4 linked regions of the Saccharomyces cerevisiae S288C genome follow. The protein of the gene in region 3 binds, or shares a complex with, the protein of the main gene of each other region. Each region holds a gene or a part of one and is shown on either strand. Other genes may lie near its edges. A codon is read from its position in the direction of its gene.

The links.
Region 1: the proteins of RPD3 (region 3) and SIN3 are in contact, whole or in part, in a cryo-EM structure (PDB 8HXX), measured with the Saccharomyces cerevisiae proteins. Residues at the interface, in NP_014069.1 of Saccharomyces cerevisiae: Asp26 (codon at 1,768), Ala27 (codon at 1,765), Asp28 (codon at 1,762), Gly30 (codon at 1,756), Asn31 (codon at 1,753), Tyr32 (codon at 1,750), Ala33 (codon at 1,747), Ala36 (codon at 1,738), Gly37 (codon at 1,735), His38 (codon at 1,732), Lys41 (codon at 1,723), His43 (codon at 1,717), Arg46 (codon at 1,708), Arg65 (codon at 1,651), Gln72 (codon at 1,630), Cys75 (codon at 1,621), Gln76 (codon at 1,618), Phe77 (codon at 1,615), His78 (codon at 1,612), Thr79 (codon at 1,609), Asp80 (codon at 1,606), Glu81 (codon at 1,603), Asp92 (codon at 1,570), Asp114 (codon at 1,504), Gly115 (codon at 1,501), Glu118 (codon at 1,492), Lys153 (codon at 1,387), Lys154 (codon at 1,384), Glu156 (codon at 1,378), Val167 (codon at 1,345); in NP_014639.1 of Saccharomyces cerevisiae: Cys748 (codon at 3,809), Glu749 (codon at 3,812), Ala750 (codon at 3,815), Phe751 (codon at 3,818), Gly752 (codon at 3,821), Pro753 (codon at 3,824), Ser754 (codon at 3,827), Tyr755 (codon at 3,830), Thr763 (codon at 3,854), Met765 (codon at 3,860), Pro766 (codon at 3,863), Cys767 (codon at 3,866), Ser768 (codon at 3,869), Gly769 (codon at 3,872), Arg770 (codon at 3,875), Asp771 (codon at 3,878), Met773 (codon at 3,884), Cys774 (codon at 3,887), Val777 (codon at 3,896), Leu778 (codon at 3,899), Asn779 (codon at 3,902), Asp780 (codon at 3,905), Trp782 (codon at 3,911), Val783 (codon at 3,914), Gly784 (codon at 3,917), His785 (codon at 3,920), Pro786 (codon at 3,923), Ala789 (codon at 3,932), Phe795 (codon at 3,950), Ile796 (codon at 3,953).
Region 2: the proteins of RPD3 (region 3) and EAF3 are in contact, whole or in part, in a cryo-EM structure (PDB 7YI3), measured with the Saccharomyces cerevisiae proteins. Residues at the interface, in NP_014069.1 of Saccharomyces cerevisiae: Arg99 (codon at 1,549), Val102 (codon at 1,540), Lys103 (codon at 1,537), Ser155 (codon at 1,381), Glu156 (codon at 1,378); in NP_015348.1 of Saccharomyces cerevisiae: Leu304 (codon at 2,725), Asp307 (codon at 2,734), Ser392 (codon at 2,989), Gln393 (codon at 2,992), Gly396 (codon at 3,001), Val397 (codon at 3,004), Met401 (codon at 3,016).
Region 4: RPD3 (region 3) and SAP30 share a complex: the UniProt entries of both Saccharomyces cerevisiae proteins name them as parts of the RPD3C(L) complex.

Annotation. Positions count from the first base shown.
Region 1 is NC_001147.6:315,371-322,106, forward strand, and holds SIN3 (transcriptional regulator SIN3), read left to right. Parts: upstream 1-1,567; coding exon 1,568-6,178; downstream 6,179-6,736. Other genes in the region: TOP1 (DNA topoisomerase 1), read right to left, coding at 1-17; DNA-directed RNA polymerase II core subunit RPB11, read right to left, coding at 443-805; palmitoyltransferase PFA4, read right to left, coding at 6,488-6,736. UniProt on the Saccharomyces cerevisiae protein: Catalytic component of the RPD3 histone deacetylase complexes RPD3C(L) and RPD3C(S) responsible for the deacetylation of lysine residues on the N-terminal part of the core histones (H2A, H2B, H3 and H4).
Region 2 is NC_001148.4:608,275-611,846, reverse strand, and holds EAF3 (Eaf3p), read left to right. Parts: upstream 1-1,815; coding exon 1,816-3,021; downstream 3,022-3,572. Other genes in the region: i-AAA protease YME1, read right to left, coding at 1-1,366. UniProt on the Saccharomyces cerevisiae protein: Component of the NuA4 histone acetyltransferase complex which is involved in transcriptional activation of selected genes principally by acetylation of nucleosomal histone H4 and H2A. The NuA4 complex is also involved in DNA repair.
Region 3 is NC_001146.8:17,460-21,230, forward strand, and holds RPD3 (histone deacetylase RPD3), read right to left. Parts: upstream 1,844-3,771; coding exon 542-1,843; downstream 1-541. Other genes in the region: PEX6 (AAA family ATPase peroxin 6), read right to left, coding at 2,082-3,771. UniProt on the Saccharomyces cerevisiae protein: Catalytic component of the RPD3 histone deacetylase (HDAC) complexes RPD3C(L) and RPD3C(S) responsible for the deacetylation of lysine residues on the N-terminal part of the core histones (H2A, H2B, H3 and H4).
Region 4 is NC_001145.3:792,959-796,082, reverse strand, and holds SAP30 (Sap30p), read right to left. Parts: upstream 1,165-3,124; coding exon 559-1,164; downstream 1-558. Other genes in the region: CUE1 (Cue1p), read right to left, coding at 1-278; YMR262W (putative endodeoxyribonuclease), read right to left, coding at 1,416-2,357; TPS3 (trehalose 6-phosphate synthase/phosphatase complex subunit), read left to right, coding at 2,714-3,124. UniProt on the Saccharomyces cerevisiae protein: Component of the RPD3C(L) histone deacetylase complex (HDAC) responsible for the deacetylation of lysine residues on the N-terminal part of the core histones (H2A, H2B, H3 and H4).

The sequences.
Region 1 (6,736 bases), on a different chromosome or scaffold from region 3:
GCATCAGCAATAGTCATTTTTACGCGTTTCAAGTTTCGAGCTCTGCCCTCCCTTTAGATTTTTTTTATTTGCTGTTTTAATACTATAAGAATAGGACTCAGGTAATTAGAGTAACAGAGAAAACAAAAAAGAATATTGCGCTCGTGTTAGTGTTGAAACAAAAAAATACAGTTGTTCTTTACGTGCATCGATCATATAAGAAAAGGGAAAAAAGCCGTAAAGTAAAAAAATAAAGAGCTTTCCATGGCTGGTTTTTTTTCTTTTTTTTTTTTTTTTTTGAAGACTACAGCAGGTATTACCCGGAGTGAAAAAGGTTTCTCACACTAAAATTTACGTGTTCAAGACATTGAAGTTATGTATAAATATATATGAGCGTATATTATGTGTATGTCCGTTTCCATTCTGTTTAGATTTTATGGCTATAGTATTAAACTCCTATATATCAAAATGCGTCGTCGGCGGCTAGAGTTTGCAGGTTCCACTCGGTTTCGAAATTTGTCTTCAGGGCGCCAAGCTTGTTAATGATGCTGTTACAGGCGTTTTTCAAGGCATCCTTCGGGTCGTAGCCCTCGGTGGTCTGTATTCTCAGCTTGAAACGAGCGAAGAAGGGATGCTCAACCTTGTAAGCGGCAAACAGCACTTTTCTGTCGTTCAGAAGTTCTGCACGAATCAGGTTTCCCAACGTGTGGTCCTCCTTCTCAAACGTTATCACTACTGCGTTGGGGGCTTTGGTGTCGGGGTCAATCTTTAGCTTGGATTCCCCTTCACCCAGAAGGAACAGTTCGAATCTGTCTGGAGCATTCATGATGCAGTTGTGTCCAAATGTATCTGGTTTGGTGGCTACGTAGCTATCTATTTAGGCTGCACGGCTCAGTTCTCTCGCTCTTCTTTTAACGGACCTCTTGTGTGTGCCAAAGCAGTGAACCTAGAATTTTCGCGGACACTTCCACTTTATTAAGTCCGGGTAATGATAATATTGAGCTTGCAAGTTTTTTGAACTCGGATAGCAGCATTATCCATGACATGACACGGATCTACCGACGAGGCTTACCGACGAGGCTTACCGACGAGGCTTACCGTGATCCCTCTCCAGTAGTCTGTAAATTCTGTTTATAATTTAAAAAATCTATCTTCTACTCCAGTCTTGTAACTACTGTTGTTACGCGCTGCCCAGAGTGTGGCACACACTGCGGGGTTACCCGTGTAACGTAGAATAAACCAGTACGGGTAATGATATCGGATTTTCTAGTGATTTTTTTCCATTCGCAAAAAAGTCGCCTTCATTTTGCAGTTCTTCAGCAAACGTGATTTGCAAAACAACGGTTACTCCCCTTCCCTATTACATTTGTCTTCCCTTTTTCGCACCAGCATTGCTAATATTCGAGGCACCGTACCTAACTAATCAGCTCATTCACGTACCACATATTCTTTGTTACTTCCCTCCCTCCACAACAGGCTACGCTATTGACCGCTTTCAGTATAGTCTCTTTACCCTTTTGTTGTGTTCGTTTGAGGTTATTTGGAAAAGGACAAAATATCTAAGAAACAAGTTATACATTGTACAAAAATGTCACAGGTTTGGCATAATTCGAATTCGCAATCAAACGATGTGGCTACTTCAAATGACGCTACGGGTTCCAACGAAAGAAACGAAAAAGAACCGTCCCTCCAGGGAAATAAGCCCGGTTTTGTTCAACAGCAGCAACGGATTACTTTACCCTCGCTATCTGCCTTGAGTACTAAGGAGGAAGATAGAAGAGATTCCAATGGCCAACAGGCTCTAACTTCTCATGCTGCTCACATATTAGGTTATCCTCCCCCACATTCAAATGCTATGCCCTCAATTGCAACTGATTCAGCATTGAAACAGCCCCACGAGTATCACCCTCGCCCTAAATCTTCGTCCTCTTCTCCCTCTATAAACGCTTCGCTTATGAATGCTGGTCCAGCTCCCCTCCCCACAGTGGGAGCCGCCAGTTTTTCTTTGTCGAGATTTGACAATCCATTACCGATAAAAGCTCCTGTTCATACAGAGGAACCAAAAAGTTATAATGGTCTTCAGGAAGAAGAAAAGGCGACGCAACGGCCTCAAGATTGCAAGGAAGTTCCCGCTGGTGTGCAGCCTGCTGATGCCCCTGACCCTAGCAGCAACCATGCAGATGCTAACGATGACAATAATAACAACGAAAATTCTCACGATGAAGATGCTGACTACAGACCTCTAAACGTGAAGGATGCCCTATCTTACCTCGAACAGGTCAAATTTCAATTTAGTTCGCGTCCGGATATCTATAATTTATTTTTAGATATTATGAAGGACTTTAAATCTCAGGCAATAGACACACCGGGCGTTATTGAAAGAGTATCCACTTTGTTCAGAGGTTATCCAATTTTGATTCAAGGGTTCAATACTTTTCTACCCCAAGGCTATAGAATCGAATGCTCCTCTAATCCGGACGACCCCATTAGAGTTACTACACCAATGGGTACTACGACAGTAAACAATAACATCAGTCCATCTGGTAGAGGTACAACGGATGCACAGGAACTTGGTTCTTTTCCAGAAAGCGATGGAAATGGTGTTCAACAGCCCTCCAATGTGCCAATGGTGCCTTCGAGTGTGTATCAATCGGAACAAAACCAAGACCAACAACAATCTTTGCCTCTTTTAGCTACTTCTTCTGGTTTACCTTCAATTCAACAACCTGAAATGCCTGCACATCGCCAAATCCCACAAAGTCAATCTTTAGTGCCTCAAGAAGATGCTAAGAAAAACGTTGATGTCGAATTTAGTCAAGCCATAAGCTACGTTAATAAAATTAAAACTAGATTTGCCGACCAACCTGATATTTACAAGCATTTTCTGGAAATACTACAAACTTATCAGCGAGAGCAAAAGCCAATAAACGAAGTCTACGCACAAGTGACGCATCTTTTCCAAAATGCTCCTGATTTACTAGAAGATTTCAAGAAATTCTTGCCGGACTCTTCAGCTTCTGCCAATCAGCAGGTGCAACATGCTCAGCAACATGCTCAACAACAACATGAGGCCCAAATGCATGCACAGGCACAAGCTCAGGCTCAGGCACAGGCACAGGTGGAACAACAGAAGCAGCAACAGCAATTCTTGTATCCAGCTTCGGGCTATTACGGCCATCCTTCTAACCGAGGTATTCCACAGCAAAACTTGCCTCCTATAGGAAGCTTCTCGCCTCCAACAAACGGTTCGACCGTACATGAAGCCTATCAGGATCAACAGCACATGCAACCACCCCACTTCATGCCCTTACCATCGATCGTTCAACACGGGCCAAATATGGTACATCAAGGGATAGCGAATGAAAATCCACCTCTATCAGATCTAAGAACGTCTCTCACTGAACAGTACGCTCCTTCTAGTATACAACATCAGCAGCAGCACCCGCAAAGTATTAGTCCTATAGCAAATACGCAGTATGGTGATATCCCTGTTAGACCGGAAATTGATTTAGATCCTAGCATTGTGCCTGTGGTCCCTGAACCCACTGAGCCCATCGAAAACAATATATCGCTTAATGAGGAAGTCACTTTCTTCGAAAAGGCCAAGAGGTATATCGGCAATAAACATTTATACACTGAGTTTTTGAAAATTTTAAATTTGTACTCTCAAGATATACTTGATCTTGACGATTTAGTGGAAAAGGTAGATTTCTACTTGGGTTCCAATAAAGAACTATTTACGTGGTTCAAAAACTTTGTTGGCTACCAAGAAAAAACCAAATGTATCGAGAATATTGTTCATGAAAAACATAGATTGGATTTAGATTTATGTGAGGCATTTGGCCCAAGTTACAAGAGGCTACCAAAAAGTGACACTTTCATGCCATGCTCAGGTAGGGATGATATGTGTTGGGAAGTCTTGAACGATGAATGGGTTGGACATCCTGTATGGGCTTCCGAAGATTCGGGATTTATTGCTCATCGTAAAAACCAGTATGAGGAAACACTATTCAAGATCGAAGAGGAAAGACATGAGTATGATTTTTACATTGAATCAAATTTAAGAACTATTCAATGTTTGGAAACAATTGTAAATAAGATCGAGAACATGACTGAGAATGAAAAAGCCAATTTTAAACTGCCTCCAGGTCTTGGCCATACTTCAATGACTATTTATAAAAAAGTGATAAGGAAAGTTTATGATAAGGAAAGGGGGTTCGAGATTATTGATGCTTTGCATGAGCACCCTGCAGTGACAGCCCCAGTCGTTCTGAAAAGGTTAAAGCAAAAAGACGAAGAATGGAGAAGAGCTCAACGTGAATGGAATAAAGTTTGGAGGGAGTTAGAACAGAAGGTTTTTTTCAAGTCATTAGATCATTTAGGCTTAACATTTAAACAGGCTGACAAGAAATTATTAACTACAAAGCAGTTGATATCAGAGATTAGCAGCATCAAAGTTGATCAAACAAACAAAAAAATTCACTGGTTAACTCCTAAACCAAAGAGCCAGTTAGATTTTGATTTCCCTGATAAAAACATTTTCTATGATATCTTGTGTTTGGCTGACACTTTTATAACCCATACCACAGCCTATTCTAATCCCGATAAAGAAAGATTGAAAGATTTACTAAAATACTTCATCTCTTTGTTTTTTTCTATTTCTTTCGAAAAAATCGAAGAATCGTTGTACTCCCATAAGCAAAACGTGTCAGAATCTAGCGGATCTGACGATGGCAGTTCTATTGCATCAAGGAAGAGGCCCTATCAACAAGAAATGAGTTTACTTGATATTTTACACAGGAGCAGATATCAAAAGCTAAAGCGTTCTAATGATGAAGATGGCAAAGTTCCCCAGCTCTCTGAACCACCCGAAGAAGAACCTAATACCATTGAGGAGGAAGAGCTCATCGATGAAGAAGCTAAAAATCCGTGGCTAACTGGGAATTTAGTGGAGGAAGCAAACTCTCAGGGTATTATCCAAAATCGCAGTATTTTTAATCTATTCGCTAATACGAATATTTACATATTTTTCCGTCATTGGACAACGATTTATGAGCGGCTTTTGGAAATTAAGCAAATGAATGAAAGGGTCACAAAGGAAATCAACACAAGGTCGACAGTTACTTTTGCCAAAGATCTAGATTTATTATCGAGTCAACTTTCCGAAATGGGACTAGATTTTGTTGGTGAAGACGCGTACAAACAGGTTTTAAGACTGAGTAGAAGGTTGATTAATGGGGATCTTGAACATCAGTGGTTTGAAGAGAGTTTGCGGCAAGCTTACAATAACAAAGCGTTTAAACTCTATACAATTGATAAAGTCACCCAATCGTTGGTAAAGCATGCTCATACCTTGATGACTGACGCTAAAACTGCGGAAATAATGGCTTTGTTCGTTAAAGATAGAAATGCCTCCACCACGAGTGCGAAGGACCAAATTATCTATCGCTTGCAGGTGCGCTCACATATGTCCAACACAGAAAATATGTTTAGAATAGAGTTTGATAAAAGAACTCTGCATGTTTCCATTCAATATATTGCACTTGATGATTTGACACTAAAGGAACCAAAGGCAGACGAAGATAAATGGAAATATTATGTAACATCGTATGCTCTGCCACATCCAACAGAAGGCATTCCGCACGAGAAACTGAAGATACCATTTTTGGAAAGGCTCATCGAATTTGGACAAGATATTGATGGAACAGAGGTAGATGAGGAGTTTTCCCCCGAAGGCATCTCTGTATCGACATTGAAAATTAAGATCCAGCCTATAACCTACCAACTGCATATTGAAAACGGGTCTTACGATGTTTTTACCCGTAAGGCTACTAACAAATATCCTACTATTGCTAATGATAATACTCAAAAAGGAATGGTTTCTCAGAAGAAGGAGTTGATATCAAAATTTCTAGACTGTGCAGTTGGTTTGAGAAATAATTTAGATGAGGCTCAAAAATTAAGTATGCAAAAAAAATGGGAGAACCTAAAAGACAGCATAGCAAAGACGAGTGCTGGAAACCAGGGAATAGAGAGTGAAACCGAAAAAGGTAAAATTACGAAACAGGAGCAGTCGGATAATTTGGACAGCTCTACTGCAAGTGTACTGCCTGCATCCATTACTACTGTACCACAAGATGATAATATAGAAACGACTGGGAATACTGAATCTTCAGACAAGGGGGCTAAGATTCAATAAGTAGTTTTAACTAGATTTAGAACAAAAATCTTTAGTACGACAGGGTCTTTCTTCTGATGTGTACCTTTAATTAATGTCAACGATATAACATTGTAATTTTAAAATTCTAAGTGTTTTTGAAGCTTTTTAAGACACATCGATCTTTCCATAAAGGAAGAAGTGATAACATGCAGTGGTTATATTTGTGTACTCATACACTGGTGCATGAATCTTTTTACACGTCATTAGCATAGTATGTAATCGAAAGGACACTATTTATAAGGGACAGTTTATACATACATATACTTGATATTCCCATGAATGAGTATTCTATTCCATATCAACATCCACTCCAAAATCGTCTAGTGATTCACCCCAGTCGTTGTACCACTTCTCACGAGAAGCATGTCTGCCATTTTGAGGAAGTCTGGTCCTTATTAGCTGTTCGCCACTTTCATTACGCATCTCTATTGTTGAGCTGCCATGATTGAAGACGGTGTTTGTTTTACCTCCATCTGGTGGCCAGGGAAGTGAAAGGATGTGGTCTTCCAATGAGGAGTTAGCCTCATATTTTGAAAT
Region 2 (3,572 bases), on a different chromosome or scaffold from region 3:
TATCAGCACGACCACGAACATCTGGCAAATCCACATTCACAACCTTATCAAATCTACCTGGTCTAGTTAACGCCTTATCTAAAGCCTCAGGGAAATTTGTGGCACCAATAATAATAATTCCACTTGTTTGTGAGAAACCATCTAATTCGACCAATAACTGATTCAACGTTTGTTTGGCGTAAGCTTGGTCCTTTGGATTACGCTTACCACCGATGGCATCTAATTCATCAATAAAAATAATAGCTGGTGCACGAGAACGCGCTTGAGCAAACAAATCACGGATACGTTTAGCACCAACACCGACGTAAACTTCATCAAATTCAGAACCTGACATAAAGAAAAAATCTACACCAGCCTCTCCGGCAGTGGCCCTAGCCAACAAAGTTTTACCTGTACCAGGAGGTCCAGTCAACAGTACACCCTTTGGTAGTTTACCACCCAAGGACTCGTACTTAGTTGGATCTTTCAGGAAATCAACAATTTCTTCCAATTCCGCACGGGCCTCATCACAACCGCAGACATCATCAAATTTAACATTTGTCTTAGCTACATCAACTGATTTGTCGGCTACTTCTGACGACTTTAGTAGCGTTGTATTTTCTGTGATGTATTTAAAACCTTCAGAAAAAGAGTAGGTTAAGATACCGAAAACAAGCAGCCACTTTACCCATCTCGATACAACAGTAAAAGTTGATTCAGATACGACAACATGTAGTGGCTCTTTGCGAGATCCATAAAGCGGAGAATACATCGATGGAAAGTTACCATGATAACCTGACTGGTTTGATGAAGATGACGCCAATGATGGGTTAACTGCGCCAGCAGAGCTGGCTGTCAGTAGGTTTTGTCTAACGGCATCAGCCTCCGAGTGTCTGCCTATCCTCTGCAGGGCCTCCATGTACAGTTCCATGCATTCAGGCGATGACGCAATACCGGGGGTCTCAAACCTAGAGACCACGTATTGCGGGTAGTTTGATTGTAAGAGAAGTTTGTAAAAGGCTGCTTGTGCATCAGGACTCGTTAAGTCTTTATTGGCCTCTTGTTCTCTAGTTGCTAGCATAGCATGTGACACAGCTACGTTCGCTTGTTTGGTTTTATCATTAGTGTTCGATGGAGGTGGTGGTTGCGAATTGTCGATTGAAGATATCGTGGATTTATTGGATGCCTTTCCAGAGCTATCAGCTTCCTTCTTAGGAGGCATTTCACCGCTATTCTTTTCAGAATAAAAACGGTAGAACTTCTTTGATCTTAAGGCCCATTTTTTTTGAACTAACAAAGAAGCACCGATTTGAGGTAGCCTGGGAGCAAATATGCGTAAAACATTTGTCGTGACCGTGGGCGACACAAGTATTTTTGAAACGTTCATCTATCACGTCTCTGTTTTCGTTCTATCCACAATGTATTATAATTAAAAATTGCTTCAATAAAATCCTGTTTATCCTTTAAGCTGTGCTTGCTTTTTACTTATCAAAAACGCAAGGTAGAGATTTAACTCACTTCACCAACTCCGATATATTGCCTTTTCACTACCGCTACAGCGTACAGGAGCTACCACTCCTCGAAGAAAGAGGTACCATGTGATTCGAGATTACTAACCAACCGATGCTGATAGAAAAAGGTGGCGAAGATTGGGGGCCGTTCCTCCGGCGATCGCCACATATCGCATTTCACGAAAGATGAAAATAAAGATGCATCCGAAATCCCGACCAGAAACGTAAAAGGGTATATTGCAAAACAGTCGTTAAAAGCATATAGCATTTTGCATTAGCATCTGTGAGGCCTCGTCACTGGATTTACCCTATTGAAGAACGTATAATGGTTGATTTGGAGCAGGAATTTGCGCTCGGTGGGCGGTGTCTGGCATTCCATGGTCCTCTTATGTATGAAGCAAAGATCTTGAAAATATGGGATCCATCTTCGAAAATGTATACCAGCATTCCTAATGACAAGCCAGGTGGTAGTTCACAAGCAACTAAGGAAATAAAGCCACAAAAGCTGGGAGAAGATGAAAGCATTCCAGAAGAGATCATTAATGGGAAGTGTTTTTTCATACATTACCAAGGCTGGAAGTCGAGTTGGGATGAGTGGGTTGGATATGATAGGATACGGGCCTACAATGAAGAGAATATTGCCATGAAAAAAAGACTGGCGAACGAGGCGAAAGAAGCTAAGAAATCGTTACTGGAACAGCAGAAAAAAAAGAAGCTCTCCACTAGTCTGGGAGGGCCTAGTAATGGTGGAAAAAGAAAGGGAGACAGCCGCTCGAATGCTAGTATAAGTAAGAGCACTTCACAGAGTTTTTTAACATCTTCAGTGAGCGGCAGGAAAAGCGGAAGAAGTTCCGCTAATTCCCTCCATCCTGGCAGCTCTTTGCGCTCGTCATCCGACCAAAATGGGAATGATGACCGCAGAAGATCTTCTTCGCTATCGCCAAATATGCTACATCATATTGCCGGCTATCCAACCCCCAAGATTTCCCTTCAAATTCCCATAAAATTGAAGAGCGTGTTAGTCGACGATTGGGAATACGTAACGAAGGACAAAAAAATTTGCAGACTACCCGCTGATGTGACGGTAGAGATGGTACTGAATAAATACGAACATGAAGTGAGTCAAGAATTGGAATCGCCAGGGTCCCAGTCACAGTTGAGCGAATACTGTGCCGGTCTCAAGTTGTATTTTGACAAGTGCCTGGGTAATATGCTTTTATATAGGTTGGAACGGCTGCAATATGACGAACTTCTGAAAAAATCATCGAAGGATCAAAAGCCACTAGTACCAATTAGAATTTATGGGGCTATCCATCTGTTAAGGTTGATAAGTGTTTTACCAGAGCTGATCTCGTCTACTACAATGGATCTACAAAGCTGTCAGCTTTTAATCAAACAAACCGAAGACTTCTTGGTTTGGTTGTTGATGCATGTGGACGAATACTTCAATGACAAGGATCCAAATAGAAGTGACGATGCTCTGTATGTAAATACGTCTAGCCAATACGAAGGAGTGGCTTTAGGTATGTGAGACGTTTATATTCTAGCTTGGGATTATTTCTAGTATTTAGTTCTTCCGTATTTATGCAATAACTCTTCACAGAATATCTCGTGTAAGAATATGGACACTGTTCGTGGCACTTTACGAAATTCAAGTTTATTCTCTTTGCAAGGTTCTTAGGGTAATGGCAGCTCTGAAAGGGGCTTGTCGAGTTAAAACATCATTAATGATTATATTTTATTTTTGTTATTTTTCTGACGTATCCATCGTTTCGCATCTAGTATGAGCTTACTAAGAGCTTCGTATATAATGTACTATCATCTTCACTTACTCGTTTGCACACTACCAAGTTCTGTCCAGGGCTCCTTGTTTTATATTTTTAGTGTAATTGCATGGTCTATGCAACATGATTAAAGCAGCATCACACGCGCCATTATATAATCTAAAATAGTCCGTTGTCGTGCGCATTCTTCTGTGGCGCGTCTTATATGAGAAAAGGGTCTTTCGAAGTCATTAACCCTCTGACGCAGCAAAAAACAACTTTATGCAGGGTTTACTTCATACAGAAAGACACTTGCTTG
Region 3 (3,771 bases):
ACTGGTTTTGTACAGCGCTGAAAGCGAATTTGAAAATATATGCAATTAGAAGAGAGTGAATCAGATGAGGATAGGGTTAATACTGTAAAATTATTACCAAATATTGAATGACATATAAAAGTCGTAGTAACCGAATTTGTTTTTTATTATGAATAAAGACTTCTTGTTTTCGCATACTTCGATGATTTAAGAAATTAAAAGTCATTTACCCAGGCGTGATTATAAATTATATTGGCACCGCTTTATCAACAGCGGTGGGACGAGACGTTTAGATAGTAATTACAATAGAAATACAACTGTTTCAATATTAAAATATCTCTAGTATGTAAATAACACATATAGGCAATTTTCTTCGAAACGTATGGGACGCGGTTGATGTATGAACGGAACGCATCAATTAAAGGTTTGAGAAAAGTCTTTTGCAAAAAAATTGAGTTTGCACTTCTCATACACAATTGGATAGCGTCTTAAGTGCCTTTTATTCACTTTTCTTCTTTTGTTTCACATTATTTATATTCGTATATACTTCCAACTCTTTTTTTCAATAGAATTCATTGTCATGCTCAACATGTAGGTCCCTCGCATATTGCGAACCACCCTTCGTATCTTTAGCCTCGGCAGAATCTTCTTCAACATCACCCAAATCTTCGGCATCCCTAGGTGTGTGATTCAACTGAACACTAGGGGCATACTTTGTGTTTTCCAAATTAGCAAATATATTGGTCATTACCTTGTCAAGATATTCGGGAGTATTTACATTGAACATATTCGAAGGTCTAACACTTAACTTATAATCTGGACCGTAATATTCGTAATATTCATTGTACGGTAAATCTTTATCCAAGACAACGTTATTTAGTAGACCTGTTTCAAAGCACCATGTCCTTGCAACATTTCTCATAGTATAGCCTCCTCCACCAACAACCATCATTGGGATCCCAAAGGATTTCACATAGTTTACACAATTAGCATGGCCTTCCATGGAAAGATTAAAGCAACCAAGACGATCGCCGGACAAGGAGTCCCCACCACACTGTAACACGACAGCAGAAGGTTGATACCATTCCATAATTTTTTTTATCACAGGTTCAAACACAGATCTATACGTAGCATCGTCAATACCGTCTCTTAATGGCACATTGACCGCGTAGTTTTTTCCTGCACCCACCCCTATATCTCTCAGTTCACCTGTGCCAGGGAAAAACTCACCATATTTGTGGAAAGAACATGTCATGACACGATCCGTTGTATAAAACGCTTCCTCTACACCATCACCATGGTGCACATCAATATCAATATACAGAACTCTGGGGTGGTATCGTAGTAGCTCAATAATGCCCAGTACTATGTCATTTAAATAACAAAACCCAGAAGCTTCCGATTTTTTTGCATGATGCAAACCACCCGCATAGTTGACAGCAACATCACATTTGCCTCTATTCAGACGAGCAGCTCCTTCCATAGAGCCACCACCAGATATGCTACAGTACTCATAGAGCCCATCAAAGACAGGACAATCATCTCCGACATTAAACTTGACACTTTCTCTTTTAAACATTTCTAAATTATCTGGAGTAACCCTCGATAAAAAATCAATGTATTCATCAGTATGGAACTGACACATTTCTTGTTTCGTTGCCGGCTTAGCTCTGTAAATTTCCATCTTCTTGTACAAGCCATAATTCATAATAAGGGAATGTGCCATTCTTATTCTATGCGGCTTCATCGGGTGACCTGCTCCATATGCATAGTTCCCAACGTCTGCATCGTAAAAATATGCAACGCGTCTTTTATCGCTTGGCTTGACCGTGATCGGATCAAAAGGTGTTGCTTCATATACCATCTGCACGGATATCGAGTTGTAGCCACGAATGTTTTGTATGGCGCAATTGTTTTATGAACCTTTATGGTTATTACTTCAAATTTTTATTATGTATAATCAACTACTAGTATCTTTTCTGTTTTTCCCTTTCGATAGATACTATGAGCCGGGGAGGGTAAGTAAATAAAAAGATAAATTTCAAGGCAAAATATGGGACATATATTTACAAATTTACCTATACGCTCTGAGTTGATATTACTTAAGCACCTTCAAAATTAGCTCTCACCGCTTCATAATGATTCAGTTCAGCCCGCGACACACTTGGGGTGAGCTGCTCTTGTGCTTTCAAGAAGTCTTCCATTTTTACGACAACCTTAGTATCCTCTTTTGTCGCAATCTTATCAAACCAGCGACGTGTAGAAATATTCTCTCCCGTCAATTCGTTATGCTGAGAAACTTTTTTTTCTACCATGCGTGCAATTCTTGACATGGCGTTAAGCATTGCATCTGAGCAGAGAGCATAAAAATCTGCCCCGGTGTAATTAAATGGACATAGCTTTGCCAACTCAATAAGCTTTACGTCGTTGTCGAGCACGAATTTGCGAGTCAGAGCCTCTAAAATATTCAATTGTTTGGTATCCGTATCCGGAATGCCTAAATATAACAATTTATCGAATCGTCCTGGTCTTAGTAGTGCTTCGTCCAATAAGTCTGGTCTGTTTGTTGCTCCGATAACAAATACACCGTCAGCGTCGGTACTCATACCATCTAACTCTGCTAGTAACTGTGAAACGATACGATCCATAACACCACCCGAATCACCTTGATTACCACGTTTGGGTGCTACTGAATCGATTTCATCGAAAAATATGACACAAGGTTTAGCCTCTCTCGCCTTTTGAAACACTCTGCGCACATTAGCTTCACTCTCACCAATGTACATATTCAACAGTTCAGGGCCTTTAACACTAAAAAAATTTAAAGAAAAATTTGTTGCAATGGCCTTAGCCATTAGAGTTTTACCTGTACCCGGTGGACCATAAAAAAGAATACCGCTTCTCTTTTTCATACCTGAGGTAAATAATTCAGGATGTTTTAGCGGCATGTCTATTGTGTCCAATATTTCACCTTTAACAAAATCAATACCACCTATATCATCCCAAGTTACGTTAGGGATTTGTGGGGCACCAATCGAAACCGAGAATTCGTTCCTAGCTTTCGAAGTAGCTTTTGATAAATCCTCCTGAGTGATCAAAATTGATTGCGGAAGCCATCCACACTTCTTTGATTCTTGGTAAAAACGCGCAGTAGCCGTCATTCGTGCCGTTTCCACAATTGATTTGATGTCTAAAGGAGTTAAACCAGCAGAATATGAAGAGAGTGATGAAAATGAAATATTATCCATGTAAGATACTGGAACCTTTTGTTGAACATCTCTGTTTAGTTCATGTGAAGATAAGTACCACTGAAAGATACGCAGTCTCTGTGCTTCAGACGGAACGGGTACGAGAATCTCAAATCTCATATGTGATCTAAAGCTGGAAGGCACGTTATCTATGTTATTTACGGAGCCAACAAATGTAGTTCCTGGGAATTTAAACGTAAAATCGTCCAGAAGTTTAGACATTTCGAAGTTTATAGATTTTTGTAATTTGATTGCCTCTGGATCTTGATTAGCGTTTACGTCAAGCAAAATTGAATCCAAATGAGCCAAAAAAATCACAGCAGGTGATGCGTACGGTAGGACATTTTCACATTTAGCCCTAATGTAACCAATAATCTTAGATGTTGAATCCAGTTGTCTTGAATTTGAAGTGAGCGAAAGGCAATCTATCTCCAGTAGATGTATACCAAGATATTTTGAAGCAAATCTCACCATTGTAGCCTTGCCCACATTGTTTGTAGTGGAATGAAGTAACACAGAGGCATTTAGGGTGATTCCCCTTTGA
Region 4 (3,124 bases), on a different chromosome or scaffold from region 3:
CCTGTGTTTTCCAAACTATACCTAATTTGCTCAGGATGTAAGTTAGGGGCTAGATTTTGCACTGTTTCCACCATCTGAGTAGTCACGGGGTGACCTCCATTGACTCTACCAGTCCTTCTCAAGGCATTCTGCGTGGAGCCCTGAGGACGTCCGTGTGCGTTTACACCTGTAGCGGATAAGCGTTGTGCTGAGGGATGCTGATTACTTTGGAAGAATTTTTTCAGAAATATAACTCCAAACACAAGAATCAAAGTGATAAGCAATCTCGAATCCTCCATGGCCAAAAGAAAAAAGTTTGCGCGATCGTAGATTGTAATGCTTTATGGCGCCTTTTATAAGAAATAGGTTGATGAGTTGTCTATTCAATGCATCAATGACAGGCCCACCTCAGTTATATTAGATCGTTTAAAATGGCGCGACAGCTACCCGCACCGTATACAAAAAGGCATTAAACTAAATGGAATACTAGCAAATAAACAAGTGTTACTGTCCATTTTAACAATTACCACCTTAAAAGTTTACATAACTTATACACAAAAGGGCTGCCTCATCGTTTGATCAACCCCGAAATTCCATCTTGAATTTCTTCTTCTGGTTTTTTACCTTGTATATAAATTGCGGTATGCAATCTGTCTCTTTAATGGAATGCTCATCGAAATGCCTTCTCACCACGTTGGCCAGGTCTCTCTTATGTATCCTTTTATCGTGCTGCCCCTGTGTGTTCCTCTTGTATGAATAAGTCTTCGCGCCCAATTTGGAACCCAATAAGTATCCCTGCAGCGTCAGGTTGTCCGGTACGTCCAATTGAAAGTGGTCTTTATACCTTCTCAGGAACGCATCCGTATACTCTTCGAAATCCATTGGGTGACTCTTGGGGCGCAGATCAGGGTGGTTGTCGGTGATATGTGTCTCTATGAGATTCTTAATGTACTGCTGTTGTGCAGCTGTGAGTCTTTGCTTCCCATTGGTTCTCCCGCTGGAGGTAGGCCCGTTATTGTTATTGCTGTTATTGCTGTTATTATTATTATTATTATTGTTATTATTGTTATTATTGCTGCCATTGTTGTTGTTACAGCTGCCATTGTTGTTACTTGCGTAACCACCACCCTGAGTGGGTCTGCCTCTCGATTCCGTTTCAGCGTTTGTATTAACTGGCCTAGCCATTACTACTCAGTATATACCTATCCTTCGATTTGCTAAACTATAAAGGAATTGCATTATCACAATAGATACACAACCGCTTTTATATAATTTCTAAGTTAAAATCTGAAAATTTCACAGTATATAAAAAAGAGCGCTTTTTCCCTTCCGGAACGGCGTTGCCTTGCTAAAACACATGCATAGCAAGAAATGGTATACAGCAAGCCTACTTAATATATCTCATTACAGTGCTATGCTGCCACCTCAAAAGCGTTTCACTTGATAAATTTCTGAAAGTTTTCGTATACACGCAAAGCGGCTTGTGAGGCATCCAGTGTCTCGTCCCATGCTCGTGCGATTTGTGCATTCAAATACTGCAGCTGCTCTGTAAGGGCCTTTTGGTATGACGGATCTGGATTGTCAATAGGATAGTCGGTTTCAGTAAGTATGCAAGTTGAGGGCAAGCTCCTGACCAGGGCATCTCCCTCTTCTGGGTCCTTAAAATTAATCCATTTGGATAGGCTCACAAAAATACGATCCGGGGGAAACTTCTTGAGCCATTGGCCCAGAAGCGTTTCCTTGGAGCCTGTGTACGAATGTAAACATATCTTGACAGAGTGATACGTCAAGAGCTCTTCATTGCAGATATCGTTTAGTTTCCCGTGGCACTTTACATCGTGTATAGAGATGGGCTTGCTTGTGTGCCTTGCCAGTCGGCAAAATCGCCTGAATACTGTTTCTTGATGCGATAGTTTGACCTTCACTGTCGTAAGCCTTGCCTTCTCGTTCTGCATGTAGAAACCATTTGCAGGAAGTCTGAAGAGCTTATCAAGACCGATTTCTCCAATCACACTAACCAAAGTGTCGTTAAACTCTCTTTTTATATACTCTTCAAGATCTAGAGGTTCGGGAAGCACCTGAACCAAACTGTCGAACTGTTCTTCATTCTTATACTCCAGTACATCTTGATAGTGAGAAACCTTGTCGCGCCGACTTCCCACATAAAATAAGTGGCTGTACCAAGGATGCACACCAAATCCCACGCATATATCGTTTTTACTTGTGCTTCTGCCAGCCAATTTTTTCAAATTGTTCCAGTCATATGGGTTTGATGACATAACGCAACGCAACGTACCCTGGGACCCTCCATCATCACCGCAGAATGTGTTGTCTGGGTCGGTTATAACATGACAGTGGGCATCAACAAGTTTATTCATCTACTTCCTCAATGAACAGCGTAGTGTAACACCTAACCTCGATAGAGTTGCAATTGCCAGTCTTCTAAAAGGGCCCTTTCTTCCCTACGTAATCAATTGTCCTCCTGGGCTTCGCGCGGTGCCCCTGGAATTAATTAATCCCCTTCAGCACGCAGCAACGGCAACTCCAGGGAGCATCAAGTGGACGAGCAAACATTCAATAGTATTAAGTCTAAGACATAAGTTTTAAGTACCGTTGCTATTCCGCTTCATCTTTTATCACAATAAAACAGTACAAACGTTATTGCAGGTCCTGGCTTTATAATTTATTGCTTCCTATTCAAAAAACCACAGACTAATAACCACGGGCAACCTCAATGACTATTATCGTCGCTTCTTTATTCTTACCATATACCCCTCAATTCGAGGCTGATGTCACCAACTCGGATACTGCTAAGCTGGTTGAATCAAGTATGATCAAGGTAGACTGCAACAACCAGGAATTGAGCAACAACAAGCAAGAAAGAAGCAGTTCTGTAACTTCGGCAAGCTCTCATTATATTGGCTTACCTCAGGAGGCGCAAATTAACGGTGAACCCTTACAAAGGGCCAATGTGGGCTCTCCTGCTACGGGAGTTAACTATCATAATGAGATGGAAATGCTTTCCTCAGAGCAATTCCTGGAAGAGCTGACTGCCAATGCCACTCATGCAGCAAACTCTGGTATTCCGCCAGCTAATAACCCAGTTTCTTCTGGCTCAACTGCCCAGCGGCCTTCAGTCGAGGAA